3 linked regions of the Arabidopsis thaliana genome follow. The main gene of each other region encodes a partner of the protein of the gene in region 2 in a complex. Each region holds a gene or a part of one and is shown on either strand. Other genes may lie near its edges. A codon is read from its position in the direction of its gene.

What was found.
Region 1: the proteins of AT2G07727 (region 2) and AT3G10860 are in contact, whole or in part, in a cryo-EM structure (PDB 8BEL), measured with the Arabidopsis thaliana proteins. Residues at the interface, in NP_178804.1 of Arabidopsis thaliana: Glu221 (codon at 7,888), Met222 (codon at 7,891), Gln329 (codon at 8,212), Gly330 (codon at 8,215), Trp333 (codon at 8,224), Leu334 (codon at 8,227), Leu336 (codon at 8,233), Ala337 (codon at 8,236), Leu340 (codon at 8,245), Leu341 (codon at 8,248), Trp344 (codon at 8,257), Glu351 (codon at 8,278), Ala352 (codon at 8,281), Pro353 (codon at 8,284), Phe354 (codon at 8,287), Ile357 (codon at 8,296); in NP_001327236.1 of Arabidopsis thaliana: Val6 (codon at 1,597), Lys7 (codon at 1,594), Leu8 (codon at 1,591), Ser44 (codon at 1,483), Leu47 (codon at 1,474), Leu48 (codon at 1,471), Pro51 (codon at 1,462), Val52 (codon at 1,459), Thr55 (codon at 1,450), Tyr56 (codon at 1,447), Tyr58 (codon at 960), Ala59 (codon at 957), Phe62 (codon at 948), Lys63 (codon at 945), Glu66 (codon at 936).
Region 3: the proteins of AT2G07727 (region 2) and AT5G13430 are in contact, whole or in part, in a cryo-EM structure (PDB 8BEL), measured with the Arabidopsis thaliana proteins. Residues at the interface, in NP_178804.1 of Arabidopsis thaliana: Trp148 (codon at 7,669), Thr151 (codon at 7,678), Val152 (codon at 7,681), Ser155 (codon at 7,690), Leu156 (codon at 7,693), Ser158 (codon at 7,699), Trp170 (codon at 7,735), Gly173 (codon at 7,744), Gly174 (codon at 7,747), Phe175 (codon at 7,750), Ser176 (codon at 7,753), Arg184 (codon at 7,777), Pro268 (codon at 8,029), Met269 (codon at 8,032), Thr271 (codon at 8,038), Pro272 (codon at 8,041), Pro273 (codon at 8,044), Ile275 (codon at 8,050), Leu288 (codon at 8,089), Arg289 (codon at 8,092), Ile291 (codon at 8,098), Pro292 (codon at 8,101), Asp293 (codon at 8,104), Lys294 (codon at 8,107), Val350 (codon at 8,275); in NP_568288.1 of Arabidopsis thaliana: Ile135 (codon at 7,472), Met138 (codon at 7,481), Ser139 (codon at 7,484), Ala140 (codon at 7,487), Ser141 (codon at 7,490), Val144 (codon at 7,499), Leu145 (codon at 7,502), Ala148 (codon at 7,511), Val165 (codon at 7,562), Lys166 (codon at 7,565), Arg168 (codon at 7,571), Gly169 (codon at 7,574), Lys170 (codon at 7,577), Pro171 (codon at 7,580), Thr216 (codon at 7,715), His217 (codon at 7,718), Leu218 (codon at 7,721), Gly219 (codon at 7,724), Cys220 (codon at 7,727), Ile221 (codon at 7,730), Leu223 (codon at 7,736), Phe233 (codon at 7,766), Pro235 (codon at 7,772), Cys236 (codon at 7,775), His237 (codon at 7,778), Gly238 (codon at 7,781), Gly250 (codon at 7,817), Pro251 (codon at 7,820), Pro253 (codon at 7,826).

The regions. Positions count from the first base shown.
Region 1 is NC_003074.8:3,392,765-3,401,426, reverse strand, and holds AT3G10860 (Cytochrome b-c1 complex, subunit 8 protein), read right to left. Parts: upstream 1,853-8,662; 5' UTR 1,613-1,852; coding exon 1,443-1,612; intron 962-1,442; coding exon 913-961; 3' UTR 672-912; intron 616-671; 3' UTR 501-615; downstream 1-500. Other genes in the region: MES17 (methyl esterase 17), read left to right, coding at 1-199; GLY2 (Metallo-hydrolase/oxidoreductase superfamily protein), read left to right, coding at 1,905-1,951, 2,048-2,170, 2,576-2,737, 2,858-2,936, 3,083-3,196, 3,299-3,475, 3,597-3,671; AT3G10845 (RNA-binding (RRM/RBD/RNP motifs) family protein), read right to left, coding at 3,901-4,006, 4,125-4,148, 4,227-4,315, 4,403-4,517, 4,599-4,660, 4,781-4,856, 5,078-5,163, 5,252-5,332 and 9 more; AT3G10840 (alpha/beta-Hydrolases superfamily protein), read left to right, coding at 8,146-8,344, 8,615-8,662. UniProt on the Arabidopsis thaliana protein: Component of the ubiquinol-cytochrome c oxidoreductase, a multisubunit transmembrane complex that is part of the mitochondrial electron transport chain which drives oxidative phosphorylation.
Region 2 is NC_003071.7:3,443,636-3,455,145, forward strand, and holds AT2G07727 (cytochrome b), read left to right. Parts: upstream 1-5,898; 5' UTR 5,899-7,227; coding exon 7,228-8,409; 3' UTR 8,410-9,141; downstream 9,142-11,510. Other genes in the region: AT2G07815 (LOW protein: cytochrome C biogenesis ccmF-like protein), read right to left, coding at 84-179, 376-648, 856-1,143, 1,415-1,477, 1,779-1,898; AT2G07724 (uncharacterized protein), read right to left, coding at 2,759-3,082; AT2G07725 (Ribosomal L5P family protein), read left to right, coding at 4,767-5,324; AT2G07728 (uncharacterized protein), read left to right, coding at 10,051-10,173, 10,476-10,606, 10,834-10,882, 10,962-11,195. UniProt on the Arabidopsis thaliana protein: Component of the ubiquinol-cytochrome c oxidoreductase, a multisubunit transmembrane complex that is part of the mitochondrial electron transport chain which drives oxidative phosphorylation.
Region 3 is NC_003076.8:4,302,083-4,313,301, reverse strand, and holds AT5G13430 (Ubiquinol-cytochrome C reductase iron-sulfur subunit), read left to right. Parts: upstream 1-5,731; 5' UTR 5,732-5,902; coding exon 5,903-6,077; intron 6,078-7,244; coding exon 7,245-7,888; 3' UTR 7,889-8,196; downstream 8,197-11,219. Other genes in the region: ATP5 (delta subunit of Mt ATP synthase), read left to right, coding at 1,361-1,456, 1,698-1,745, 1,903-2,146, 2,238-2,350, 2,432-2,518, 2,616-2,744; AT5G13440 (Ubiquinol-cytochrome C reductase iron-sulfur subunit), read left to right, coding at 3,280-3,460, 4,228-4,871; TRA2 (Aldolase-type TIM barrel family protein), read left to right, coding at 9,090-9,265, 9,462-9,633, 9,727-9,776, 9,899-10,199, 10,431-10,619, 10,707-10,889, 10,977-11,219. UniProt on the Arabidopsis thaliana protein: Component of the ubiquinol-cytochrome c oxidoreductase, a multisubunit transmembrane complex that is part of the mitochondrial electron transport chain which drives oxidative phosphorylation.

The sequences.
Region 1 (8,662 bases), on a different chromosome or scaffold from region 2:
AGAGGAGCAAGTGCCGCGCGTGTACATCAAGACGTTACTCGACCGGGTCATGAAACCGGAGCAGCAAGACGCGATGATAAGACGGTGGCCACCTAGCCAAGTTTACGAATTGGAGAGCGACCATTCTCCTTTCTTCTCTAACCCTTTTGTTCTCTTTGGTTTACTCATCAAAGCTGCCGTTTCCGTCGGTTCTATCTAAAACTATTTAAAGAACTAAAGGATTGCCTTTTGTTGGTTTTAAAACCGGTTAAGTGATCAGTATTGTCGAGGGAGTGTTTATTTATTTTTGATTTTTGTGACATTTTGGTATTTTATATTAATCGTTTTGAAATAAATTATGTTTTGCTTAATTTTATCTTGCGTCACAAAAGTGAAATAAATTTCGGCAAATCGTGTAGTTTTATATAAATCACTAATTTGCAGTCTTCCAAGGTCTACTTAAAGTCCTAGCCGGTATCGACACCAACTTCACAGTTACCTCAAAAGCCTTAGACGAAGAGAATGACTCCGCTGAACTGTACTTGATGAAATGGACAACATTTCTAGTCCAACCAACGACTCTGTTCATCACAAACCTTGTAGGAGTGGTTGCAGACTTGCAGTGTTTGATTTTGCCTAATAGTTGTTTGTAGTTGATGTCTTAAGGGAACATAGGCAGCGTTTGATTTTGCCTAATAGTTGTTTTGAGGGATCAATATATTACTCGATTCAATCCAATTTTCATACCATATATCAAGAAAGATGAACAACAAGAGTCATTGTCATGAAACCCAAACATTTATTTAGCAAAAGAGTTTCAGAAAAACTGACTCAGAAGATTCCCACAAGAGTTTTTGTGAAATTTATAGGCTTGAAACAAAAGAAATTACTTCAAACTGTCAGGTTCTTGTAGAAAAGGAGTGACTTCATGCTTCAGAATCTGTGCTCAAGCTTCTCCTGTTCCTTGAAATACTGAGCATACCTGCATTCATTGTGTGTATTTGAAAGAATAAGCACAAAAGATGACTAGAAACTAGACCATAATATGCAGCACCCGTAATGTTTAGATCGATCAGGTAACTAATAGCTTCACAAGCAAGAACTCAACAGTTTTAATAGAACCACACTAATCAGCTAATGATTACGACTAAGCCATTTAAATCCTCAACATCTTGAAATGCAATTCCACAGAGTGGTTCATCAACAATACTAATTTGATACCTGGAAGACTTTTTCTAGCTGAGAGTCTCTATATACTACACTCCACTTAATACTCATCTCAAACTAACTTAAATCCTATCATTTCTCATTTGTTCCTATGACACAAACGAAGAACCCTATATCCATATGCGCCGCACAAGACCGATGACACAGATCGAAGAACAATCAACCAGATCGGAACTCGATCCAAAGGTTCCTTTACCAATCGATTGATGAGAGAGATAGAAAGAGAGATAGAGTACCAGTAGGTTCCAACGACAGGGGTAACGAGAAGAGTGGCGCTGATCCAATTCTCAGAGACCTTGTGGTGGATCTTCTCCGGCAGATCCTTCCAGAGACCGGTCATGATCTTCTGCTGAAACGGAGAAAGTGCGTAAACCACCGCCTTCAATTTCACCGGCTGCTTCCCCATTTTCTTTTTCTCTTCCCAGATAATCCCAACAACAACAATCCACAGTACGAGAACGAATCTCCCCCAAAACCTAAAATAAACAATTCTCAACGAAGCTTATGTTTTTTATCCGATTCCGGTTCAGTTACAATTACAATTGAACCGGATGACCGGCTGCAAAATTTATCCTGATTTGTTTCGGTTCGATCCGGTTTGAGTAAACCGAAATAGATAAATCACTAGTCCAGACATAAATGATGATGATGATACAGCTAGTGTTCCGGAGGAGAAGGACGATCGATCTAAGGAGACGATGAAGATCTTCCACGTTCCTTGTCTGCAAGACAACTACTCTTATCTGTGAGCCATTTTGATATCCTACTTCAATTTCGTTGCTTCTTAATCTGACTCGGTTCATCATCAGTTTAGGATTCTTTCTTCGTAAAAAAAAAACAGGATAATCGATGAGAGCACCGGAGACGCGGCGGTTGTGGATCCAGTTGATCCGGAGAAGGTGATCGCATCGGCTGAGAAGCACCAAGCTAAGATCAAGTTCGTACTCACTACGCATCATCACTGGTAAGTAAACCTCACTTCTCTCTATGTCACTGGTAACTTATCTTATTTGATTCATCTCCGAGATTCTCTGTTGGTTCTTATTACTCAGTGATATCGACATATGCTAGATTCCGGTCCTAGACATTAACATTAGTACAAGTCTATTGTTAAATCTCTCAGTTTTCTGATCAAGTGTTTAGCTTTTTCCTACTATCAGTTTCAACTGACTTAGAGATTCATCTTCGTGAGTCTGATTCTTTGTTAAAGTCTGATACTTTCTGCATTAATGTTTCACCTCTTGAAGATGCAAGATTTATTATATATGTACCATATGATGGTTGCCTTTGTCTTCGATGAAATTTGGATTTGAGGCGACGTTTTTATTTTAACACTCATTGTTTGATTGGTGGCTTGATATGATCAAAGGGATCATGCCGGTGGAAACGAGAAGATTAAGCAGTTGGTTCCTGATATCAAAGTATATGGAGGTTCTCTGGATAAGGTGAAGGGTTGCACTGATGCGGTTGATAATGGTGACAAGCTGACTTTGGGTCAGGATATTAACATATTGGCTCTCCACACTCCTTGGTTTGTTTTTTTTTTTTTTTTTTTTTCCAATGAATTTAGATGCATCTAATCTACTTGATGTTTAACTCAGTCATTTTCTCTTGTCATCGCTGATTCCTCTGATATATCTACTTGTTACAGTCACACCAAGGGTCACATTAGTTATTATGTGAACGGAAAAGAAGGAGAAAACCCAGCCGTGTTCACCGGAGATACACTTGTAAGTGGTAACATTAAGCTGAATCCTCTTGTTCTTCCCTACCATGGACCCTATATGTTCTCCGTAGATCTTTTATCTCTGTAAATGTCTAAATGGAGATAGTTATGAGTTAAACATTAAGCTGTGTTTACTTTGATTTTATACAGTTTGTTGCTGGATGTGGGAAGTTTTTTGAAGGGACAGCTGAGCAGATGTATCAGTCGTTGTGTGTGACTCTGGCTGCATTACCTAAACCGACACAGGTTTACTGCGGCCATGAGGTAAAAAAATCAACAGCTTCATTATGTCTTTTGAGTTCTTAACTCATAAAAATGGATGCCTATAAACTGAATAATCCGCTATTCATTTCTTATGGTTCTCAGTACACCGTTAAGAACTTGGAATTTGCTCTAACTGTGGAACCAAACAACGGGAAGATACAACAGAAGTTAGCATGGGCCCGTCAACAGCGCCAAGCAGATCTTCCCACAATCCCTTCAACACTGGAGGAAGAGCTCGAAACAAATCCATTTATGCGTGTTGATAAGCCAGAGATACAGGTTATTACTCCATTTGGTTCATCTTCTTGAACAATTCATGATTCGGTTTTATCAGCTATCACTGTTGATATCGATCTTTACTTTCTTGTCGTATATCGAGATTAACTTTGTTATTTTCCAGGAGAAACTCGGTTGCAAGTCGCCAATTGATACAATGAGGGAAGTTCGGAACAAGAAGGATCAGTGGAGGGGATGATGATAAATGGAGAGCTTCTTGCCTATGTTTTGTGTACTTGTGTTGAATGATCCTGTAAAAGGTGTATGAACCAGTAATGTTGATATTCTGTGTGAAACTGTGAACCGGTTTGGTAAACCGAAATCAGACCGACCTGTAAGCCGTACTCCCTTTTTGAATTTTCAGTTTACTATGGATAATAATTTCAGTGTCTACACTAATCCCCGTAAAAAGAGAGCTTCTTCATCTTCTAGCAGTCGTCCCCGTAAGAGAAGGTAATCTTCTTACCGCAGAATCCGTTGGATTTTGCCTTCTGTTGCTTCAGATTCGATTCTCGTAGAAGGTTGTCTTCGTACCTGCATTGTATCAAAAACCCTTGTGATCTCTCCCCATTTATACGAAAAACTTCACCGAATTTGCCTTTGATAACAAAAAATCTCTTAAAGGCAAAATAGTAGTTAAAAAATCCCTTACCAAAGCTTCTCTGCAAGCTTGTACCTAATTAACAAAAAATGATAACGTTAATCTTCTGTTATGACATCAAAACTAGAGCAATAACATGGAAAATCAATGTACATGTGTTGGAGAGGGTATGGAGCTATCTCAGCCAGCTCAAGAAAGATTTTGTGATAGCGCAAACTTTTACCATTCCTCTGTTCCAGCGCCTACAGTATAAAAATATTTCATCAAAACAATTTCATCATATAAGTAAGTATACACTAGTTTTCATCATTGCTATAAAAACTACTCACCTTCTCTGCTTCATTAGCAGAAGCAAACTCAAAATAGCCACAGCCCATATGCTTACCCGATTGGTCAACAATAAGTCGAACACGAACAACTTCAAAGTCTTGGAAGAAATACAACCTGTAAACATGAAGAGGATAAAACATCAGTCATGAAAAACTTGCTCCAAGAACGAAAGAGTAAACTAAAGGTGCTACTTACATCCTTTGTATACTAGTTCTAGGAGGGAGATTGGTAACAAAAAGCGTCTTTTTTCTTGCTTCCTGTATTTAGCAGCCAAGTGTGTTAGCATGGCTCTAAGGAGGTAACAGTTTTGTTATCAAACACTTGAGCATTTCCCCTCTGAGCCTGACATATTTTGAAGATGATAACAACACGCGTACCTCAACAAAATAGGGAGTTTCAGCAAGTCCTTCCACTGCTGCCTCATCTCTTTCTTGTCCAAGGTAGTCTTCGTACCTGGAACATTAAACAACCCTTGTGATCTCTACATGTATACCAAAAACTTCACCCAATGTGCTCTTGATAACAAACCCTCAAGATGCAAATAGTTGAAAATTCCTTACCAAACCTTGTGATCTACGCACCACCTAGTTAAGAAATATAATATTAGTGTTAGTCTTCTGTGGTGGCAATAAGTTGACAGCAACAAATCTCCATAACATGGAAAATTAATTTACTTGGGTGGAGGGAATGGAGCTATGTTAGCCGCCTTAAGAAAAATCTCGCCATCCTGCAAATATTCACCCTTCTTCTTTTCCAGCGCCTAGAGTATAAATAAACGGTTTAACTAATCAAATGACTGCGACTTGTATACATTACTTTTCATCAATTACTAGAAAAACAACTCTCACATTCTCTGCTTCCTTAGCAGAAGCAAACTCAACAAATCCCTTGCCCACATGCTTGCCAGTGTGGTTAACAATTAGTCGATGCTGTAAAAAAGTGGAGGATAAAATATTAGTCATGAGAAACTTGCTCCAATAACGAAAGAGGAAATCTTAAGGTGCTACTTACATATCTGATATTATAGTCTGGGGAGTAAGATGGGCAACAAAGAGCGTCTTTTTTTTACTTGTGGCAACAGCCTGCGTTTAACAGCCAAGTGAGTTAGCACGACGCAAAGAAGAAAAGGACTTAAGGTTGCACAAAAAAAAAACACAAGATTTCTGTTATTATTATTAAAGGTTTCTGCTGAGCCTGACATATTGTGAAGACAACAAGAAGAGGTACCTCAGCGAAATCGGGAGTTTCACCATGTCCTCTCATCAAAATGATCTTATGACCATGAAAATATTCACCATTCTTGTTTTCCAGCACCTACAGTATTAAAAAGATTTAATCAGCTATCCAGCTTTCAAAAAACTAGTAGTATGTTTTTCATCATAAGTTTGTATACACTAATTTTCAAAATGACTAGTAAAATACTAAAATCGTCCATCATGACTACAAAACCAGTCTCACCTTCTTTGCTTCGTTGGCAGAAAGAAACTCAACAAAGGCACAGCCCACAGGCTTGTCCTCATGGTTTGCAATAAGTCGAACACTAACAACTTCTCCAACATCTTGACAGAAACCGAAGCTGCAAAAGTGGAGGGTAAAATATGAGTGATGGGAGAGTTACTTTTTCTTTGCTCAGAGAAGAAAAGTGGGAGTGCTACTTACATATCTAATATCTTAGTTTGGGGGGAGAGATTGGCAACAAAGAGAACTTCCTGTGCATTATACAGGAACAAGTGTGTTAGCAGGAAACAAGGAAAAAGTAGCTAGCAAGATTCAGCCCCAGAAAATAAGTAAACATTTCGAGCGTTTTGAAGATAATGAGGGCAGTAGGGTGGTACCTCAGCAAAATCGGCGGGAGGTGTCTCATCTTCTTGTCGTGGAAGGAAGTCTTGGTACCTAGAAAAATGGAAAACGCTAGTGATCTCTACATGTATACAAAAAAACTTCAAAAAAAAGTCTTGTTCCCTTACCAAACCTGGTGATCTATGCAATACCTAATTAATCAAAAAATGAAAAGCCTTAGTCTTCTGTGATATTGTATCAAAAAGTCTAGCAATCAGTTACAAAACGTGGAAAAATCATGTTTACTTACGTAGGAAGAGTCAATGAAGAGCTTAGCTTAGGCACTTTAAGATAAATCTTGCGATCGAGCAAACATTCTCCATCCTTCTTTTCCAGTGCCTAGAGTGAAAAAAACGTCAGAAAATAACCTTGGATACGTTTAAACATATAACTAACTATACACAAGTTTTCAAAGAAAAAAAAAACTGGTCTCACTTTTTTTGTTTCATAGGGAGAAGCAAACTCAACAAAGCCAGAGCCAGTACGCCCACCATCTCGTTTTATAGCAAGTCGAACATGAACAACTTCTCCAACATCTTTGAAGAAAGCGACGATATGTGATAATGGGGCTCGGTGAGGGATACGGCCCATAAAGAGCGTATTTTTTTATCACGGAAGCTTCCTGAATTTAACAGCCAAGCAGAAGTTTGTGTTAGCATGACGAAAAGGACAAAACAAAATTGCATAAGGAGAGGTAGCTACCTCAACAAAATCGGGAGTGTCATCACGTCCTTCCACAGTACTTTCCTCCTCCTGTTAAGCGAGTAGCCGTTGGAACAGATTTTGGAGAACAAGATGCTTAATTTGAACATAATAAAACTTATTACAATATTAAACCTTGAGAGAGATTAAATTAGCTTGATCAGACTTGTGCTGGAGGCTATCAGCAAGTCCTTCCGGTGTCTCCTCCTGTTACATTCACATACATACATACATAAGTGGTGTATGTATTAAAAAAAAAAAGTGGAGTGATCCGACGTTACTTTCTTCTCCTCGTCCTTATGTTTCTTGAGAAACGGTTTGGTCTCCAAATCATCATCTTCCGGATTTCTCTTACCTAAAAGAAGAGCAGATCAATGGAAAAGAAAAGAAATAAAATCAACAGCCAAGTAGATAGTAGCTCAGAGCCACTGAAAACAAACCACATAAATTAACTTCCTTGCTAGAACTGGCCATGGAGACGGTGAAAACAGCGCCAATTTTGTTTTCCGGCAAGGCAATTGACTCAAAGTTATAATAACAACCCTAGAAAGAAGGTAAGATACTTGACAAAAAAGAAAGAAAGAAGGTAAGGTATTCATAACAACAATAATCTGGTTTGGGCTAGGCCTGGGCTTTTATTGCCACCAACCAATCTGGTTTCATAACAACAAAATAATCTGGTTTGGGCTAGTCCTGGGCTTTTTTCCACAACCAAGCAAGATTCAATTCAAGTCTGGGATCAAGTGTGTGTGTGTGTGTGTGTGTTGTGTTAAGTGATCCTGTAAAAGGTGTATGAACCAGTCATGTTGATATTATGTGTGAAACTGTGAACCGGTTTGGTAATAAGCAGTAAAAAAAATAAAACTTTCAAATTGTAATACCAAAACATGGAATAGTTTAATCTTGGCGGCCCATAATACTGAGAAGCCAAGTGGCAACGAATGGAGTGGGCTTTTTACGTTTAGGTCCTCTTGTTCATCCAATGATCTTTAGTTTTTGTCCAATAGATTGTGTAGGTGAGAACTGAGAATGAGAAGTCAGGAATTCATCACCATTTTTTTTTTTAATTTGTTTTACAAACAAAGACAAAACACTGTTGAATCATCTAACCTTGCCGTTTAATTTAGAAAAAACAGAACAAAAATGTCAGAACTTTTGTGTAGTTGATGTTATTCTTCTGTCTGATTAGTAGGAAGCAACAATGAATTTAAACACCACATGCATCTTCTTTTTGAACCAACCAAAGCAGACTCTCTCAACATTATCTCTCAGCGACAAGTTTAGTTCAGATTCCTCTAGAACCCATTTTCAGATGTCTCGTCAGATTTCCGGCCAACCCTCTCGCCGTCTCATCGTCTCCAATGCTGCTTCTTCTCCTTCTCTCTCTGGTGGCTTCCCAGGTTTCTTACAAAAATTGTTCCTTTCTTTCTACTTAGAATTCAGATTTCAATTGATGAATCTTTCTGTTCGTGTTAGGTAACTACCATATTGAGGTTTCTTGACTCACCTATGAGATTTAGTATTCTGCTAATTGTGGAACATTTGAGCTTATAGTTCCAATTGGATGAAATTAGATTTGAGTAATCTCTCTGTGTATCACAAATTGTTCCTTTTTCTCCCATAAAGATCTAATTTTATATGAGTAATCTTCTTGTTTCATGAATATTTAGATGCTGGAGCACATAGTAAAGAGGAGATGGAAGCTGAAACAGAACAGG
Region 2 (11,510 bases):
CAACTCAGGGGGGACGGGGAAAGCTAGAGGCCCAAAACCTTCGACCCTTCTTTCTAAATCTAAATGGGGGTGCCCGGAGCACCTCATCTTGTCATTTCGTCGTTGCTCATTCCCGTTCGGCCGAAGTGTTTGGCCTTTCCTTCTCCGCGCCCGCTCACGCTTCGCTGACCTATCGCGTGCTAAAAAGAGGAAAGTACGAAAGAATAGTAAACAGAGCACACCGCAGAAAGATTCTAAATATGAGAAGTCCCCCTTGGATTCGAGAAGACGGAAATGAAGAACGGGAACGAAAAAAAATAAGGCCTTTCTAGCTCTAGTTTCAGATGAGCTTCTCCCAATTATGTCTGGTAATAGAATAGGGCGACTTGCTCTGACCAAGACTCCACTTTTTGCTCCGTCCATGGAGCGTATGATTTTCCTTGAATGTAGATAGACCAAAAGAGGGAATGAAGAGATAGGAATAGGAATTATAGTACCATTGGAAAAAGGGGCACCCGTGGGAACATCTCTACTGACGAACCATTTCAATAGTACGGGTGCTGCCGTGCCACAAGGCACGACCATAAAAATAATAAAAAAGAAAAAGTTATGTAGTTGGACCATCTGCTCTATCCGTTCGAGTTTGGCTTCTCTAAAGAAGAGAAGGCGCTAAAAATGAAAATGTTCGCAAGGCATACCGAAAGGATACCAATGAAGCCGACCATTAATGACTAGTTCGAACACCAGGAGCGGAAGGAGGGACTTGAACCCTCAACCTTAGCCTTGGCAAGGCTATGCTCTACCATTAAGCTATTTCCGCCAGCTACGGTAGTGGCGAAGCACTACTGAGCAATTCACGTATTACTTGATACGGACGACTTCCGTTTTTCCGCCGGACCACGGCTCTTGACCTCCGATCGAGCTACGAGCACGAGTAGGTAGGCGGCATCTGTCTTTTTTTTTTTGAAGTTGAGTCATTTCCTTTCCTAAGACGGCTCCTCTTATTCTACGATAATCCAAGCAGCAGCTGCCCGAGTCCGCTCGGAACCAGTCGATTCCTGAGCCTGGACTCAAGGTCTCTCCTGCCTGCGAGTTTGCTGCGAATGCTGCGAGTAAATACATGAACGAGACGAGTGAGTTAGTCTCCGAGCGAATCCGGCGGGTCTTTCAAACATCCAAGTTGCCACTTTTCAGCTACTTGGAATGCATGAGACCCCTGCATTTAGGAATCTTAGGTTACCTCCAGCCTTCTGAAGCGAGTTGACCTTCTGTTGACCTTATATCTGTCTACCTTATATAATAATGAATATGAAAGGAAAGCACTAACTCCTGAGCTTGGGCAAAGTTGGCTAATCGATTTAGACTATTATAATAGAATAATAAATCCGCGACTTGGGAAACCCTTTCTTCATTCGTTTGGCGGGAAAGGAGAAACCATTTCTTCATTCATTGGCGAGAAAGCATTTCGTGCCTTCGTCCTAGGCTCGGCTACTTCTTTCTCAAATAAGACAAAGATTGCACTAGACCTTGAGCCCGGGAAGACCGCTACTAGCCCTTTACTCTATTGGATTGATTTGGTCGAGACCCGGTTTCTCCTTCCTAGAAACCTGAAACTGCAATCCGCGAACGACCGCTTTCTTCCTTATTAGCCTAATATCTTACTCTCGGACTACATTTGTCTAAGAGCAGTTGAGGAATCTGCAACTGAAAGAAAGGAATCATGGAATCTGAACCCAAGGTTAAAAAAAGGGGAAAGAACTACGGAAAAGGTTCTATCACGTTAATCGTCACCCACTTACGCTCCCTAGCCATCTCTGGAATTGAACTTCCTCGGAACAGCTACAATGCTTTGAATTCCTCTGTGCTTTCACGAACAAGCCGAATAACCTTCTATTTCGGAAGAGGCATTCTGATACCATTCACCCATAGATGATATTGAGAATTCTCAGGTTGAAAGCCCATCAACTTAACGCTATCTGGGGCCATTCAGAAATTATAATCCACGAAAGGAGCCATCACCGGACTCGAGCCGGGAGAACCTTTGAACAATACTGGCTGCCTTTGCTCGTTGACGACTAGCCTTTGTTCTTTGACCGAGATGTCGACCTGATCACTTTTCTCAAATTTCAGCAACAACAATAAGAAATAGTAGAGCCTTCAACGGGACATTCGAACGCAACAAAGGGTTTCTTGACCGCCTTTGAACGACAACTCGATAATAGAATAGAAGACTTTCTTCGTCGACTTACTCGCTCGCATGACAGCATTTAGTGGTCTCTTCACTGGCTTAGGCTATATTGGGGAACGCTCGGCTACAAGATTGAAAAGACCGATATGATAGCTCCACGGCCGGAGCCGATACTTCTCTCTCAAACCATTACCTTTCCCCGCCACATTCTTTTTTGACGGAGAGACGATTCAAGAGGATCCAGCTAGGCTGAAAGCGGAGGATTCTTTCTTTACCTGTGCCCCGGACCCAAGCTCGGCTGAAGGCAAGGAATTCTTTCTAGACTGACACGCAAGCTAGGCTGAAAGCAACCCGGGTTACAGCAATGGGGATTCTCTCTTCAATTAGAAATGATATTATATTGGTGACTACTCCCTTCAGATTGAAGATTTGAAAGATAACACGCCCACCGCCGGATACTCTTCACGTGCTGATACCTATATTGGATTGGTGAACAACCCTGGAGTTTAGGACATTTGAAACTATAGAAAGACCTTAGCCGCTTTTATGATATAGTCCTGAAGACCTAACTCTTAGAAATGACCTACTAACTCATCGACAAAGAAAGGACTTCGCCTTGACCTTCTGACCTAGACGTCGAACCAGTGCCTTGGATTCATCAACAAAGGGATCAAAGGAACTCATCTGTCCCTCCAAACGGAAATCTTGGTTTTGTAATTTGATCTCTGACAAAGGGAGAGGGAAAGAAAGACCAATCCGTATCTTTGAAAGAAAAAGATTCTCAGAAACGCTACCACCGAACATCGACTTACTCGGCATCTTCGGATTCAAGCATTTCATTCGTTCGTTGGCGCAAAAGCCTCGTTTGGCGGGAAAGCATTCATTCGTTTGCGGGAAAGCAAAAGCGTTCAGCATTGACTTCCTAAAGCGACTTCTTAGCGTGCTTCAACAGCGCCCAGATAATGCCTTGACCGGAGCCGGAGGGAGACCTAAACAGAAGAACGACCTCGCAGTGGCAACATAGCCCATCCTCAACTCATACCTCAGATTTTGAACCATACTTTGAGTCCTCAAACTTTGAGATGGACTGGACCAACACTCTTCTTTGAGATGGAATTCCCACCACTCTTATTTGACATGAACTGTAACGCTACTCTTTCAAAGATACCTAACAACCTTAGCTGGCATTGATCACTCTTCCTTCCCAATCCCTCCATTTAGAATTGCAAACATCCCAACTTCCAGAGCTACCTATGAGCCAAGGGCGGAGGGAGATATATTAGACTGATCAACTTCAAACAAAACGACCTTCCTGGACTCGCTTTCATCTCCTTCTTTGAAACGACTCAAATAATTGAGTGGGCATTGGGAGCCTTATTTAATGGTGGATTCCTGAGCTATGAATGTCTCTGAAATCGTGATGTCAAAAAGGAATGATATGCGATTATTAACTTGCTTCCTTCCCTCTAATTTTCATGCAGTAGTTGAATTTTTGCACTCTTACCTGGATGCGATTTTCCGCCTTGAATAGATGGAGGTGTTTTCCACCTTGAATTGAGAATTTTTGCATGCTCGATGGGATTTCTGCCTTGAATTATGATACATTTATTATGAATTTTTGCATGCTCGATCTGATTTCCTTCGCTGTATGGGAGTGCATAGGCCTATTCTAGCATGGGGTTTCTCGGGGTAAGGCTTGTGCTTTTCCTTCCATATAAGACTAGCTATGTGCTCCCTCGGTACGCCTGTATTCCTTTCGTGGATTGGAACCTACGTACTGTTGTATTGTAGCGTGATGTTTTCCCACTGCTTTCTGGCTTGACTCACATAAAGTACGTGCGTAACTGGCACTATCATGTAGGTGCGAAATCTGTCTTCTCCTATGTCTTGTTCTCCCAGTTTGATTCCTATGTTTCGAAGTCCAGCTAATTAGTGAAGGAAAGTGGTATGGATGTTTGGAGCTCAATCCATCGAATTCACTCGCTTCTTTGCGCTGCGTTGTAGCTCTTAGATTATTGGGAGGAGGTCATTTCGAATGTTTTGTAATTTGGAATCGTTTTTTCTTCAAGGCACGGCTTCTTGAATCGTCTTTGTCTTGTAGAATGGTTGTCATCTGGAATCTAACTAAATAGTTAGTTAAGAAGACGCGTGCTTTGTTTGGTTTTGATCTGGAATTTCACTATAAGATAAGATAAGAGTGAAGTGCTTTGTTTGGGCAATCTGCCTCCCTAAATCTAGTGGAGGTCCCGGTCCCGCCGCTCCTGTTTGTAATGGGGCCGCTTTGTGCCAAATGTGTAAGTTGTTTTTTCAATCCGTTCTAACTGTAATAAGAGAAGAGGGAAGTCCGTCTAAAGAAATTAGTGAAGGAAAGTTATATGGATGTTCATTAGTTCAGTAAAGTGTTAGTAATGTTGCTGGGAGTAACCCTTTGATCTGATCTGTCTTTGTACGTGTTATCTTGCGAGGCTGTCAGGTTGGCTTGTGAGGATGGGGAGAAAGCGGGCCGAGAATCTTATGTCAAAAGGACCAAGGATGATCTTTTCGGAAAGGAGGAGTAGGAGGAGTCAGCTTATTCTATAGATACTGTAAAAGCCAACTCATGTTTCCACTCAATTTTCATTACGAAGATGTATCACGTCAAGATCCGTTGCTCAAACCGAATCACGCCAACGTTATGGAAGTTCCTGGATCGTGTGAAATAAGAGTAGTACCAAAGGCACCCTATAATTTCATAATAAAAAATGGAAAATTGGCTATGGAGATTCCGCGCGGTCAGAAATTCATACAGACACAAAGGGGTTCGACAGGAAAGTCCTTTCGATCTAATCCATTCTTGGGGTCAAATAAAGACAAAGGATATGTAAGTGACCTAGCACGACAAAGCACTCTCCGAGGGCATGGAATGTCTAATTTTTCGGTCAGAATCTCGACAGTAATGTCTCTATTAGATTTTCCGGTCGAAATACGGAAAAACTCCATTCAATTCTCGATGGAAACGGAGTTTTGCGAATTCTCCCCGGAACTGGAAGATCATTTCGAGATCTTCGAACATATTCGGGGGTTCAATGTGACTATTATCACTTCGGCCAACACACAAGATGAGACTTTACCACTGTGGAGCGGTTTTTTGCAAAAAGATGAGGGGGAAACTCAGTAAGATGTCGTAGAAGCAAAATAGTAGAGATCACAAACGTAGATTGCTCGCGGCTAAATTTGAATTGAGACGAAAGCTTTATAAAGCCTTTTGTAAAGATCCCGATCTTCCTAGTGATATGCGGGACAAACATTGTTATAAGTTGTCCAAGTTGCCAAGAAATAGTTCCTTTGCACGAGTCAGAAACCGATGTATTTCCACGGTCGCCCTCGTTCTGTATCTGAGTTCTTTCGAATTTCTCGTATCGTTTTTCGTGGATTAGCATCTCGAGGTTCTTTGATGGGCATAAATAAATCGTCTTGGTAGCAACCACCAAACCAATAGAACAAAGAAAGGTTAGCTCCGCAGCTGGTCCACAAGCAAGGTAAGTAAGCCCATTACCAGCCGGCTCCGGACCGAAAAGTAACGTATTTAAAACCCTTATCTTGGATCGGAGATGCGAACGGGGCGGGAATCGAAGTGGGGGACCTCTCTACCGCTTGTGTCTATTTCCTGTCAAGTATGCTCCCCATACATAGACTACGTACAGGTAGTACTCTTGGAAAGAAAGATATAATGCATGAACATAACATTAACTTACGAATGTAACTCCCGACCACTCTTCTAAATATACTAAGGCGGAGAACTCTTGTTCATTGGAGCGCCGTAGTGCGGAGGTTCTTCCCATCATGGAAGTCCGAGTTGGGACTGAGCCTTCCGAATGATAATGCTTTGTTTCGTTGGAAAAACCAACGCAAATCTCATATTGACTTTCTATCGCCCTACTTCTAAGGATAGATAGAGAGAGTTACTTTATGAAATTATCTCCCTTCTAAAGCAGCGCAAGTCGGCCCCCCCAGAACAAAGCCCCTACTCCCGAGAGGTATAAATGACTCGACTAAAAGGAGAGGTATTTATTACTCGAGCACTTGTTGCGAGAGGTCCAACGTAATTTATTACTCTTATAAAAGAGGGAACTCGACTGAAAGGAGAGGTTGTTTACATACTCGACTAAAAGGAGAGGTCCAAATGGACTTCTGTGAATTACAGTGATCCAGTCTCACGGATATGGAGCTTCGCCGGAGATGGCAGGGCAAAACCTGATGGACCTTTTTTTTTTTTTTCTCAAGAGGTGATTTCGAGAATCAACCAACCGACGAGACTAATTCGAGGATGTGTTAAAAGAGAGTCTAACCGCCAAGGCAAGTCCCATGGATAAGCCCCAGCCTCCCTCTCGTTTCACTCTCGTTCCTCTCCTTACAGTCGAGCTCCTTTGTTCCTTCGGACCTCTCGCCCAAATGAAATGGGATGAATCCAATCAATAAGCTTATTGATTGATTCAGAGCGCAGCGAAGCCAAATTCAATCAAGGCAAAGGGGGGCTTACTTTTCCTGACGCTGAGTCATCCTATTCAAATTTAGCTATGCTAATGTAACAGGAAAAGTTTTCACAGATGATATGGATCCCAAGAGATGAGCGAGAACCTCCAATTGCTTAAGGATCGCACTCCGCTATCCCGCTTGGTGGACGAGATCTTCTCTCGGGTCATCCATCCTGGGTTACTGAAGGGTTGTCCGACTGCTCGGTGACCGAATCAGAGAAGTTTTGACCGCTTTCTCTTCTCTCCAGCACTCTCGGACTGATCATCCAATCCATCTTGCTGCGACAAAGCAAGCTTAGGAATGAATCTAAGAAATTTAGGTCTCTGCCCGCTTGAAAGATTCTTCTTTCCTTTTCGGTGAAAGAGGGCAAAAGTGTGTAGGAGAAAGAATTCTAAAAACGTCGACGCTTAATTCGCCCCCTCCATCCTTCAAAAGTAAAAGAAAGGCTCAAATATCAATATTATATATATATTTGAGGATATTTTAGGGCCCTAGAACGCAAAAAAAAGGTGGGTGAACAAGAGTTGTCACGATAGGAAAGAGAAATGACTATAAGGAACCAACGATTCTCTCTTCTTAAACAACCTATATCCTCCACACTTAATCAGCATTTAGTAGATTATCCAACCCCGAGCAATCTTAGTTATTGGTGGGGGTTCGGTCCGTTAGCTGGTATTTGTTTAGTCATTCAGATAGTGACTGGCGTTTTTTTAGCTATGCATTACACACCTCATGTGGATTTAGCTTTCAACAGCGTAGAACACATTATGAGAGATGTTGAAGGGGGCTGGTTGCTCCGTTATATGCATGCTAATGGGGCAAGTATGTTTCTTATTGTGGTTTACCTTCATATTTTTCGTGGTCTATATCATGCGAGTTATAGCAGTCCTAGGGAATTTGTTTGGTGTCTTGGAGTTGTAATCTTCCTATTAATGATTGTGACAGCTTTTATAGGATATGTACTACCTTGGGGTCAGATGAGCTTTTGGGGAGCTACAGTAATTACAAGCTTAGCTAGCGCCATACCTGTAGTAGGAGATACCATAGTGACTTGGCTTTGGGGTGGTTTCTCCGTGGACAATGCCACCTTAAATCGTTTTTTTAGTCTTCATCATTTACTCCCCTTTATTTTAGTAGGCGCCAGTCTTCTTCATCTGGCCGCATTGCATCAATATGGATCAAATAATCCATTGGGTGTACATTCTGAGATGGATAAAATAGCTTTTTACCCTTATTTTTATGTCAAGGATCTAGTTGGTTGGGTAGCTTTTGCTATCTTTTTTTCTATTTGGATTTTTTATGCTCCTAATGTTTTGGGACATCCCGACAATTATATACCTGCTAATCCGATGTCCACCCCGCCTCATATTGTGCCGGAATGGTATTTCCTACCGATCCATGCCATTCTTCGTAGTATACCTGACAAAGCGGGAGGTGTAGCCGCAATAGCACCAGTTTTTATATGTCTCTTGGCTTTACCTTTTTTTAAAAGTATGTATGTGCGTAGTTCAAGTTTTCGACCGATTCACCAAGGAATGTTTTGGTTGCTTTTGGCGGATTGCTTACTACTAGGTTGGATCGGATGTCAACCTGTGGAGGCACCATTTGTTACTATTGGACAAATTTCTCCTTTGGTTTTCTTCTTGTTCTTTGCCATAACGCCCATTCTGGGACGAGTTGGAAGAGGAATTCCTAATTCTTACACGGATGAGACTGATCACACCTGATCAGTGAAAAATTCTGACACCAATCATTTACATATTACACCAAGAATTGACAAGCAGATAAGTTTTCTAGTTTGCTATGTTGATATAGCTTAGATAGGGAAAAGATAACTCCACTATAGAGTAGGGCTGTACTTCAAAAATCAAAAAGGGTCCCTCTCCCCCTTTTTTTATTAAAAAATCAAAAAAGAGGCCCCGCCCCCCAAGGCCTAAGGAAAAAACCTCTGATAAAGAAAGAAAAAATATAGAACTAACCTTTACACTATAACCATTAAGTCAAGTTATTAACAATCCTATACTAAGAGGAGAATTCGGATCAGCTCGGGCGGAAGAGGAGAGGCGAAGAAGAAGACAATAAGCACTCAGATTGGACCAACCTTTCATTTAAGGTTCGTCATTATCTTTTCAATCCTGACTAGAATCAGGCTTCTCTTGAAAAAAGGTAAGGAGTTATTCGATATAATATGGTATTAACCCTAGCGCCTAAGTCACCCCCGCAAGGTAGGAAGAAGATAAAGGAGAAAGTGAACGGAGGAAAAAAAGGCGATAAGCGAACCGGCGGGCGGTAAAAACCACAAAGAATTTATATAGAAAAATAGGTACTACCAATATGAAATTAAGAAAGACATATATACCTGAAACAAAATTCTGTAATGACTATGTGACCATGAAGGGAGTAGTTGATTCGCGTTCCAATTCATTGGCAAAATCCGGTATAAATATAATAATATAACGAGATCGTCGTCTTGACAAAGATGAATAGAAAGAGTGCTTTTTTTTTAATGGTAACAATTCTTATTGTTTTTTTTTCTTCGAAGGAAGATCTTTCTTTGACTAAAAAGGTTTCCATTTTTAATAGATTGTTTGTGGTTGTACCTTTACTGCAAGAATATAAATGACTCGCTATTCACTCGAGGTTTCTGGGTCATAATGTAGGAGAGATGGCCGAGTGGTTTAAGGCGTAGCATTGGAACTGCTATGTAGGCTTTTGTTTACCGAGGGTTCGAATCCCTCTCTTTCCGTACCTTTACCTAATTCACCAACGTTACCGACCGCGCAATACCAATCGAGACCTCTAAGACGAACTAAAGGGATGTCTCTAAGCAGCCAAGGCCAAGAGCAAGCAGGAGTGGTCCTATCCGCCCATTCATTTTTAAGTGACTTATAAGACGTGAGAGATACTCTAAAGTCATAACGGGGAAGGCCAGAGACTTCGTTCAAATGGGGGGAGGTTTTCTCTTCAATAAAATGAAAGGCAGGTATTTTTATACGAAAATTGAGAATTCAATAATAAATGTTCACTTGAGATTAGGTTCGCGAAGAAGAAGATCACAAATGAGATCTTGAGCTTGAAGCTTACTCTCCAGAATCGAAAGATCTCTTATCCCCGAGGCGAGGATGGCTTCATAAACTTTTTTTGCCGAAGGAAAGATAGATAAGGGGTTTCATCCATATTTTTCTCCCATTTACGTATCACGTTCAGAGATTTTAATTAGTTGTCCGCTCTTTCCGTACCTTTACTTACCGACCAAATACCAAGACTACTTACAACAGGTGGTGAGGATCAGCACACTGCGGGAATCTAAGGAATTGATTGCTGTGCATCGACCAATCTCAGAAAGGGAACTATAAAAGAAGGTGAAGATGCACCGAGGCATTTATGAAGACGCATGGTATGCTGTGGAGAAAGGGGTGAAAGGAGTAGAAGCGGCAGGGCAAGAAAAGGATAGTGATAAATGGACAGACGCTGAGAAGAAGAAGTCGAAAGTATAACAGCAAAGCACTGTCAGCAATCGCAAGTGACACATTCAAGGGTGAATCATCCAAAGATGCTTGGGATATCCTACAGAAGGGTTGACAAGTGTAAAGAGATCTCGTATTGATATGCTGCTGGCTTCACGGAGGAAAGAGAGACCATTGAACAATTCATCTGTGCTTTGCCAATGCTGCTCAAAATGAAAGACAAAGACAAAAGTCAAAAAGCTTCTGTTCTGTAGCACACTCCCGGCGAAGCAGCCCTTCGCAAGCCATGAATGACATAGATACCCTTGCGTTTGATGTTGTTGTAGGTCACCTACAAGCGTATGAAATGGAGACTGAGAAGTCCGAGAAAAAGCATTGCTGCAGCACACACTAAGACAACAAGAGAGATATTGAAGATTCAATCGGCAGCACACTGCTTGCTAGAAACTTTGGCAAAGTAGTAAAGAAGAATGGACAAAGTAGGAAAAACCCTTTTACACAGAACACAACAACAAATCGTGATCGTGTGTCAAAGAAGGGAGAACAACAGTGTAGGGATATGGCAAAGCTGAGCACTGCCTTTTTTTAGAGAAGAGACTTCAAATGTTTTTAATGCAAAGGTTGCTTCGCTAGGGGCACACAAAAGCTGAATGTGTGAATACTCCCTTATTGGTTTGCTTGGAGCGAGAGCGAAACAGACGAGGATGATGATGCAGAGGAAGTCTCTGGATTCGTAGCATTTGTGATAAAGATGAGACGCTTCATTCGGACAATTGCTTTGCTAGTGAAACAAATTTGCTGCTTTACTCAAGCCCACACCCTCAAGGGGTTACTTCGTCACCTCCGTCAAACCCGCGTCAAAGCCCCTCGTCAAAGACCTACGTCAAAGTAGGTTGCTTCGCCACCTCCGTCAAACCTCCGTCAAAGGAGGCTGCGGGAGGCTACGGGGCTGCGGGAGGCTGCGGGAGGCTACGGGGCTGCGGGAGGCTGCGGGGGCTACTTCGCTGGGAGTGTGCGCTTATGCTGAAGAAAGAAAGCAGGTCCAGGTTCAAAGCGTAAAACGGTGAAACCAAAGGCTTCTTCAACTCGAAGAAAAAGCAGGAACGGAAAGAACTTTACTTCCTGGTGAAGCAATTTTCAGGATAGAATTCTGCCAGCTTAGGAATCTGAACATAAGCAGTAGAGCGAGGGCATAGATTACTCTGGTCATGCCACCCCAGCAATTCCAAGAATTAATGCAAGCAAAGCATAGGAGTGTGATTTCTCGTTTACCTTCTTTTGCTCTTAGGAATAAAGGTAAAAAGAAAAGCAGTGTGCTGGACAGCACCTTTCCTACGTTTGAAAACGAATTGCCGGTACTC
Region 3 (11,219 bases), on a different chromosome or scaffold from region 2:
AAGATTATACACTTGTAGTTTGATTGTTAATTTAAGAGTTTGACATGTAGTATACCATCTTGTATTAATATCGATCTAAACCCGTTAATTCTAGGATTTTCCAGCTTGTATTAAAAATTGAATCACATCTAATATGTTATTAATTATTGTAGTATATAAGATTATAAATTTTCAATATAATATGTATGAAATTGAATATAAATATTTCAAATTATGACCCGTTACTCAGTAGAAAGTTTTCTTAAATCTATTTTTCATCCGTTATAATATTTTTCATGTATTGAACAGTTTATATTCGTTTTTAAAAATTCAAATTATGACATATGCGAAAAAACTCTAATTATTTTTTTTATAATGATGATATTATTTTTCGGCAAAAATAGAATCATATAAAGATGAGAAGTGAACTATAATAATTAATAAAAAATTAATATGATAATTTAGATATCAAATCTAATTTGTTGATTTTAATTGGTTATTTTTTTGGAAATTAATAATGCATTTTATTTTTCTAATTAAATTAAATTAATTAAAATTTAGATATCAAATCTTATATGTTGATTTTGATTGGTTATTATTTTTGGAAATTAATAATGCATTTTATTTTTCTAATTAAATTAAATTAATTAAAATTTAGATATCAAATCTTATATGTTGATTTTGATTGGTTATTATTTTTGGAAATTAATAATATATTCCGTTTTTAAATTAAATTTAATTAATTAAATTAGTATTTAACTTTTTAATCCTTAAAGAGATAAATTAATTTATTCTTTAAAATTTTATTTTTAATGGCATACCTATGTAATTACTTACAAAAATTAAGGTTACATTTAAAAAGTACTTCCCAAATAATATAGTAGGATAGAAAATTGAGAACAACATCTTAATTCGTAAGAAAAATAGTATTTTTTTAGAACATCAATTATTTTGAAATAGAGAAAAATACATTATTGTAGAGTTCAAATACACATTAAAAATGATATTTTTCATATACACATATATACAGTTAAATTTGAATATATATATATATATATATATCAACAATAATACAAAATAATAATCTACAAGATCTTGTTTACAACAAAAAAACGAGTTAAGTTGTGTATTACATAACCTCACTATAACATTTGAAACTTGGTAAAACACTAAAAACCTGAGCAAAACAAATTAACTATCATAAATTTGCCACTATCTACAGGTAGTAATAAGCCCAATAAAATAAGTATGAGCCCAGTGAAGCCCAATGCACTAAGTTATTTTCTTCCTCTGACCAGTTTCATCTCTTTGCTCTCGACAAAGCAGCTGAGCGACTTTTGCACATTTCTAGGGTTCCAATCAAAATCTATCTGCAACAAAAATGGCTAATCGTTTCAGATCAGGGATCTCCTTCTTCAAGACCATCGCCGTAACAGATTCTGTCTCCTCCGTTAGATCCAAGTCGCTTTTCCCAGCGGTAATTCGCATTCTTAAAAATCGAATCTTTTCAGTCCAATTTTTTGTTCGGAGTCGATTCTTACGAGATCAGTCGATCCAATCGCCTAATTGGATTGATAACAGTATAGAATGGGGATTATCGTGTTTTCTCGCTTACATTGCTCGGCTTTAGATGTTTTGGAAGTCTTTTAACTCTATCTCTGTTATTTTCCTGAGAATGCTATCAATCAATCTTTAAAGTTTGTATATTTCTATCGCAGTTGAGAACTTATGCAACTGCTTCTGCTCAAACAACCGCTAATGTTAAGGTACACCCTTTTATCACCATCGTATTATTTTGTAGATGCGAGAATCGCGACAATGGCTTGAATTGTTTGATTGGCATAAATGATGAACCGCGGATAGCTGGATTTTGTATAATATGTAATGGAAGTGTATCTAGATTTATACTTGTTGTTGTTTCAGGTGCCTATTGCTTTAGTTGGTGAAAATGGGAACTTTGCTTCATGGCTATACATTGCAGCTGTGAAAATGAATTCCTTGGAAAAGATTGAGACGGATCTTTCTGAGATGATTGAGGCAATGAAGACAGCTCCTATTTTTGCTCAGTTTACAAAGGATCCCTCTGTTCCTAGAGGGACAAGATTGGCTGCTATTAGGGATGCTTGTGATCAAGCAAAGTTTGCCGAACCCACTAAGAACTTCCTCTGTATGTAATTCAAGTTTGAAACTGTCTTGTTTTTATGATTTTGATTGACCTTGTTGTGCTGATATTAAAAGTTGTTTGCTTTCTGTAACAGCTTTGTTAGCTGAGAATGGAAAGCTGAAGAACCTAGATGCCATTGTGAAGAAATTTATGCAGCTGACAAACGCACATAGGGGAGATGTCAAAGTTTTGGTTACCACAGTCATTGTAAGCTTTAGTCTCAATACTTGTTATCTCTTAAATAACCATAAACTCAGTATTGTGGATTTAATCATATGGTTTGGACAGCCGCTTCCCCCTGCTGAGGAGAAAGAACTGACTGAGACGCTTCAGGAGATCATTGGAGCAGGGAAGAAAATCACTGTGGAACAAAAGGTATGTAATCAGATATGCATCAAAGGCTTGTGATTTTCTAGTAACCCATAAAATGGATATAAGCATCTATGTCAATGGTGGTAATGTGTGTTTGTAGATTGATCCAAGTATCTACGGTGGACTAATCGTAGAGTTCCAACAAAAGGTGTTGGACATGTCAATCAGGACAAGGGCACAACAGATGGAGAGGCTCCTCCGTGAACCTGTTGACTTCAACAACCTCTGAAAATCTTGAGAGAAATTTCCCCCAAGAAAACATGCTTGTGATGAATGCCACCAATTGACAAATAAATATGGACCCTCCTGGGAAACAATATAATAGCTGGCCACTTCTCTCCCTTTGAATTTTGTCATTTGCTTTTTACATATTGTTGTTTGCTTCGAAATAAAGCTTTTCGAGACATCAAATTTCAATGAGATTGTTTTTGTTTAGATTTGAATCGTTGGGCTAATTTGGTAAATAAATCTACAAACTATGCCCAAGTAGCTTATTCATACTCACGAATGAACATTAAGATGCCACGAAGCTACATAATTATCATGTTAGAACACCGTCATTGTTCTCTTCAGTATTAATAGTAAAAAAACCAAATTGACGATTTCTCGAAGACTATTAAAGGAATATCCGCAAAGAAGAAAAAAAAACATTTTTTTGGTAAAGGACTAATCTTTTTGTTTGCATCGGCCATCTCTAACCTTACGATTGTGTGTTCTTGCTTTGAGCGAAACCCTAGAATCGGTCTTAACCCATTTGAGCAGAGATGCTGCGAGTAGCAGGAAGGAGGCTTTTTTCTGTTTCGCAGAGATCATCGACGGCGACCTCCTTCGTCCTTTCCCGTGACCATACCCTTTCCGATGGAGGCAACTCCTCTTCCGCTTCTAGATCTGTCCCCTCTGCAGATCTCTCATCTTTCAATTCTTACCACCGGAGCGTTATAAGAGGTCTGCCGATCTACAACTCTTTCTGTCTCTCGATTGATTTTCATTTCTGGTGTTATCCATTGAATGATTCATAAATTTTTAAAAGTCACCTCTTTTGGGCTTGTATAAGTCCGGAAATGATTGAGATTCCTAGTTTCGTATCTGCGAGATGATCTATGGGAATTAAGTCATCTGTTTTGAATTCTTATGATGTGTATTAGAGCTTGATGTACCATTTCGTCTCATTCTTCTCCTTGCTGGAATAGTGATTGATCGGATATGAATTGACCAGCTTTGAGATAATCCTTTTTTGATGAGATAATCGATTTTGACATGTAGTTTATTCATTATTATGGAAATGGATGTTTTATCGTCTTTGGGCACATCATATAAGATACTTGCATCAGTAAACGAATCTGGAATTCCATATCTTTAACCAAAAGGGCTATGTTTGCAATCTTATCTTAGGAGTTTTCTTATGTTTTAAGCATTTATGATCATTGAAGTTCCTTCCTTGGATCTTGCGTTAGATAGATTAGTTTAGTTTTCACTGAATTTGATATCATGGTAGAAAATTGTTTGGATGACACCTTCTGTTATCTCTTGGAATCCGTTTTTATAATCTTATGTTATTCTATGCATTAATGTTAAATGTTTGCTAGTGTTATTCCTTTCTTCTGTGTTATCTCTTGAAAATATTTTTGCTTAATACTTGGTGTTGTTGAACACTTGACCAAGTATAAAGTTTGCCCTTGATGTGAAATATTAATGTTTCATGCTATTTTCAGGTTTTGCTTCTCAAGTCATTACTCAGGGAAATGAGATAGGTTTTGGTTCGGAAGTCCCAGCCACAGTCGAAGCTGTCAAAACACCTAACTCAAAGATTGTCTATGACGACCATAACCATGAGCGTTACCCACCTGGTGACCCTAGCAAGCGGGCATTCGCCTATTTTGTCTTGTCGGGTGGAAGGTTTGTTTATGCCTCTGTTCTCCGCCTGCTTGTTCTGAAGCTTATTGTGAGCATGTCTGCAAGTAAAGATGTCCTTGCCCTTGCATCCCTCGAGGTTGACCTAGGGAGCATAGAACCAGGAACTACCGTGACAGTCAAGTGGCGTGGAAAGCCCGTCTTCATCAGGCGAAGAACAGAAGATGACATCAAGCTGGCCAATAGTGTGGATGTTGGATCCCTGAGGGACCCACAAGAAGACTCGGTTAGAGTCAAGAATCCAGAATGGTTGATCGTGGTTGGAGTATGCACTCATTTGGGGTGCATCCCCTTGCCTAATGCTGGTGATTATGGTGGTTGGTTTTGTCCGTGTCACGGATCACATTACGATATATCTGGAAGAATTAGGAAAGGTCCTGCACCATACAACCTGGAAGTACCGACCTACAGCTTCTTGGAAGAGAATAAATTACTCATTGGTTAATGAATAAAGCACAACAGTCCGAGTGTCATGGTCTGGATGATCTTAAATCTGTTTTTGTTTTTATATTTTCCGGCATTTTAGCGTGCAAGTTCGCTTTCCTCACACTTTGGGCTCAGCAAAAATTGGCTTGTTTTGCTGAATAATACAAACTTGTCATTGTATGACTTAGTATCTGTCTCATCTGGTGAAAATACATTGTTCATACTTCATAGTCTCTGTTTATTATTTGAAAAGAGTTTTGAATAGTATCATCCCTATTTTTCTTATGTTTGTAATTTTGTAACATATCGTTTGTAAGAGAGTTTCCTTTCCTTAAAGTCTGTAGCCATTATCACAATTGAGACAAAAACTTGGTAAGGTTCAAGGTGTGTTATAAAACTTTCGTGTTCTTACTGGAGACGACATTTCGAAGACCTTCAATTCTCAACTAAGCCATAAACCTTCTCTTCCATAGTGAGAAATCCAATTGTGAACCTCGAGACTACTACTTTGATGAAAGATGTCATATTCTGGTTGTGGATCTTAGCCTAATTTTCTTGTTCAGATTGTTTTCATCGATGACTACTTCTTTGATGATGTCCTTCTAGCTCTTTCTTCTAGTATTGAAAAGTTCACACAGATGTAAAACAGTCTTTTTGTTGGAAATCTTGTTTAAACATTACAACAACAAAATATATCCTTTACCAAGTATAGACCCCCTATTATTATTATTAAAAATTACGATTTTTATACAAATAAAATAATTTATCTTACAAATACACACACACAAAAAAATTATATCGTAAAACCAAAAGATTTTATTAATTAAAATTAGAAAAAAAACCATGCCATCAAAATCCTGAAGTAAAAAAATATCAAGTAATACGCAAAAACCAAAAAAAACAAAACAAATTGACCTTTTCTCAAAGACAATTTTTAAGGGACTTACTAGTAAGTAGTCTCTTATGTTTTGTTTTGCATCGGCCGTCCCAAACCTGAGGATTTCTCTGTTCAGCTAGAGCGAAACCCTAGATTCACATTTGAGCTGAGAGATGCTGCGTGTAGCAGGGAGGAGGCTTTTCTCTGTCTCGCAGAGATCTTCGACTGCGACCTCCTTCGTCGTCTCCCGTGACCATACCCTTTCCGATGGTGGCGGCGACTCCTCTTCAGCTCCCAGATCCCTCCCCTCTGCAGATCTCTCATCTTACCACCGTAGCCTTATCAGAGGTTTGCCGATTTATAACCCTTTCCCTCTCTCTCTACATTGATTTTTCATTTTCGGTGGTTCTTTGCAGTTTTATTTGATTGATTGATTTTTGAAAAGGTCTTCTTTTTTTGGTTGTATGATTCACGGGAATGATTGAGATTTCTAGTATTGTATCTGCAATGATCCGTGGGAACAAACGTGTCATCTGATTTGAATTCCATGAGCTTGATGTACCATTTGGCTACATTCTTCTCCTTGCTGGATTTGTATTGCATTTGATGATTACTTCTTTCGTGTGGATTGTTCAGTTCTGAGATAATCCTTTGTTTTACTAGGAAAGTTTCCTCTTTTCGGTGCGTTAATCATAGTATGATTCACCACTGGCTTCTTGGTTTTTGAAATTTGATCTTGTGTATCAATCCTTTTGAGTTCTTCATTGTTAGGGACATGGATGTTTTAACTGTATACTATGTTTGTAGGATTTATAGCTGTTTAAAGGCATGCTGAGGAACTTGCATTCTGAAATTTATGTTTTCTTAACCAAAGAGCTTTGTTTGTTCTTAGCATTGGAAATTTTGTTGTGTTTTAAGCGTTTCTGTAATATACAGCATCTGATCAATATATTTTTTTCTCTTGGTTTATTACGTTGGTTTTAGTATTTAAGGTTTCACTGAATTTGTTATTATTGATTTGTTTGGATGAATTTGGTATACTTGGCTTCTCTGATTCATTCTTTCGTCCAGAAGGAAATGAACATTTGAGTTTATTGATGGATTATGGATTGACCTGTTTAGATGTAATTCTTTGGTTGATGACTAAAGCTCCTTGCTTGTAAATCATTGGAATGCGTTATCCATAGTGTGATTCACATTGGCTTCTAGATTCCAATTTTTTGTTCTTCTGTTTCCATGTTGATCATTGAATTTGTTCTCTTGTTTTTTTTATGGAGATTATCGTATTTAAGTTTCCACTCCCCGAGTTTGATACGATGGTTTGAATTGTTTGGATGGATCTCATACTTCATGGAATCCGTTTTATGTACTTTTGTTTTTCCTTAGAAGATTATACATCAATGGTCACATCTTGATTGTGGTAGTCCTGTGGCTTATTCTTATTCTTGTAGAACACTTGACCAAGTATAAAGTTTGCCTTTGATGTGAAATATTAATGTTTCATGCTATTTTCAGGCTTCTCTTCTCAAGTCCTTGCTCAAGGAAATGAGATAGGTTTTGGTTCAGAAGTCCCAGCCACAGTCGAAGCTGTCAAAACGCCTAACTCAAAGATTGTCTATGATGACCATAACCATGAGCGTTACCCACCTGGTGACCCTAGCAAGCGTGCATTCGCCTATTTTGTCTTGTCGGGTGGGAGGTTTGTTTATGCCTCTGTCCTCCGCCTGCTTGTTTTGAAGCTTATTGTGAGCATGTCTGCAAGTAAAGATGTCCTTGCCCTTGCATCCCTTGAGGTTGACCTAGGGAGCATAGAACCAGGAACTACCGTGACAGTCAAGTGGCGTGGAAAGCCCGTCTTCATCAGGCGAAGAACAGAAGATGACATCAAGCTGGCCAATAGTGTGGATGTTGGATCCCTGAGGGACCCACAAGAAGACTCGGTTAGGGTCAAGAATCCAGAATGGTTAGTGGTTGTTGGAGTGTGCACTCATTTGGGGTGCATCCCCTTGCCTAATGCTGGTGATTATGGTGGTTGGTTTTGTCCGTGTCACGGATCACATTACGATATATCTGGAAGAATTAGGAAAGGTCCTGCACCATACAACCTGGAAGTACCAACCTACAGCTTCCTGGAAGAGAATAAGTTACTCATCGGTTGATTAATAAAAGCACAACAGTCAAGAGTCTGGATCTGAATGATGATCTTCACTTGTTCTTTTTTTCTTTTAATTAATATTTTCCGGCATGTTAGAGCAAGATTGACTTGTTTTTGCTGAATAATACAAACTTGTGATTTTTGTTTGAAGTATACTCAATCTTCGTTTATCCATCGCTAGTAAAAGACGACTATGTTCATAGTCTGTGTTTATTATTTAACATGCCTATTTGTCCTATGTATGAGTGAGATTCCTTTCGTATCTCATAATTCTAAACATCGTCATTCCAATTAAAAAGTTGTATTTACATTTGAGTTTCGATAGTATCTCAACGTTCATAAAAGAAAAACTAAAGGTATGAGAAAAACCAACGTAGAAACAAACAACAAAAGGTAATATATCAGCTTTGATTGATAGTTTACAGGAAGATAACCGAATAAGTTCAAACTGTATTCGTAAGACATCCCGTGAATGAATATTCAATCATCCAAAAGTGGCATAGCTAGATTTTTTCTAGATTGGCTAAGAACACAAAAACATAATATTTTATTCTGTTTAATCTTTTTTAGTTAAGAAAAAATGTTTGACACACAAAAGCCAAAGTTTGATTTGGGTAAAAACCATTGTGGGAGATGAAAATGTTAAAATCTTGTTTGTTTTGGTCACCAACAACGGCCATGAACTATATGGGAAGTGACTTATCTCTTGTAAGTTGTTTTCCTTTTGGGATATGGGAAGTGACTTCTCCGACCCTTGCAAACTAACAACGGCCATTACACACTAATTACAAGCCAAAGGTCCTCACTAAGCAACCTCTCGTGTTTATCATAAGACACCGCTCTATCTCTTATTATTTTATTCATTGTTTTCTAATTTCAGACTGATTAATCATACATTAGAGAAAGTTTATTAAAACCATCTGATGTAAAAAATCACATTTATCTAAATTAAATAAATTTGTTATCTAGTATATAACTATTTATTGTTTTAACATTTGGATAAATTGTAAGAAATTAGAATGTAAAATAAGACAGAAAATGGTCAACTATGAGCATCTATCGCCATCATGATATAGTTTCGTCGTTTGCGTTCCCGACCTAACTCAAAACTTCACCAACCCCATTTTTAAGCCCCTTTCTTTGTTTTTATCCTCCGATCGATCAAACCAAGAAAAAACACTTTCGTATTTCCCTCGACGAAAAAAATGGCAACCATTTCGAATCTCGCTAATCTTCCCCGCGCCACCTGCGTCGACTCCAAATCTTCTTCCTCTTCCTCCGTCTTACCTAGATCCTTCGTCAATTTCCGCGCTTTGAATGCAAAGCTTTCCTCTTCTCAGCTTTCTCTTCGTTATAACCAACGATCAATACCTTCCCTCTCGTAAGTCTTTATATCCATTTGATGCATGTCTTTTGTCTCTGTTTCTCGCTCTTGGGGTTCACCAAAAATTGAATCTTTTTAGCTGGAAACGTACCACGAATCTCAAAGTAACATTTTTTATAAGATGGATTAGGAAAAGCAACTGTATTTCCCCTTTTTGGTTGGTAAAAGTCTGATTTTTTTGTTTAATTTGCAGTGTGAGGTGTTCAGTGTCTGGTGGAAATGGAACTGCTGGAAAGAGAACGACTCTTCATGATCTATATGAGAAGGAAGGTCAGAGTCCTTGGTATGATAATCTTTGCCGTCCAGTCACAGATCTTCTCCCGTTGATTGCTCGTGGTGTTAGAGGTGTTACTAGCAACCCTGCGGTAATTTTATCATCTCTCTTTGTGTGTTTGGTTTTGCTTTTGCTCTGTGTTTGTTCATTTGTCTTTACTTCTTCACTTTTTATACATTTGCAGATCTTCCAAAAAGCCATTTCCACTTCAAATGCTTATAATGATCAATTCAGGTATCTTTTTGTGATTGTCTTAGACTTGTGGTTGTTAACAACATGCTATTAAAACTTTAGAGTTCTTCTTTATATGAAAAGTTGTCTGATATGTTAATGGTATACCTGACATGCACTATTAGGACACTTGTGGAATCGGGAAAGGACATTGAAAGTGCGTATTGGGAACTTGTGGTGAAGGATATTCAGGATGCCTGCAAACTTTTTGAGCCAATCTATGACCAGACAGAAGGTGCGGATGGCTATGTCTCTGTTGAAGTTTCACCTAGGCTTGCTGATGATACCCAAGGAACTGTTGAAGCTGCTAAATATCTTAGCAAGGTTGTCAACCGTCGTAATGTCTACATTAAGATTCCTGCTACTGCTCCATGCATTCCTTCCATCAGGGATGTCATTGCAGCTGGAATAAGTGTCAATGTCACGGTAAGTTATCCTAGTATGTTTCATTATTCAAGTTTCTTATTGCAAGTTTTAAAGAACTTCAAAATAAAATAAGTCATAATACTTCAAATTCATGTATTGTGTGATGATGTGCTAGATCACTGGATTTCTTGGGCGTTTTAAACCTGAAACTAGATTAGTTCAAGGGTGTTCCAAGGATGCACTGATGTTACCTTTTCTAAATCGTTTCTCATATGTTCTGTTCTGTTTCAGCTTATATTCTCAATCGCCAGATATGAAGCAGTGATCGATGCATATTTGGATGGCCTCGAGGCGTCTGGACTTGATGACCTCTCAAGAGTTACCAGTGTTGCTTCCTTCTTTGTCAGTCGGGTGGATACTCTCATGGACAAGATGCTTGAGCAAATTGGTACCCCTGAAGCCTTAGATCTCCGTGGGAAGGTAAAGCTCTATTCATCGCTGAGATCTTACACCAGCCACTGTGAGTAGAGTATTAGCTTATGACACATGATATGTTTACTCTTGCAGGCGGCTGTGGCTCAAGCTGCATTAGCATACAAGCTATACCAGCAGAAATTCTCTGGCCCAAGATGGGAAGCTCTGGTAAAGAAAGGTGCCAAGAAACAGAGACTTCTCTGGGCATCAACAAGTGTAAAGAACCCAGCTTACTCTGACACCTTATATGTCGCTCCTCTCATCGGACCTGACACTGTAAGTCATCTTTTTGTTTGTGTTGAAGTCAATAGGCTGTATTAACGCTTTGGAAGTATATTCATAGTTTTTGTGGGTGTGATTTAGGTATCAACCATGCCGGATCAAGCCCTGGAAGCATTCGCAGATCATGGAATAGTGAAGAGGACAATAGATGCGAATGTGTCAGAAGCAGAAGGGATTTACAGTGCACTAGAGAAGCTGGGAATAGACTGGAACAAAGTAGGAGAACAGTTGGAAGACGAAGGAGTAGATTCCTTCAAGAAGAGTTTCGAGAGTCTGCTCGGTACACTGCAAGACAAGGCCAACACTCTCAAACTAGCCAGCCAT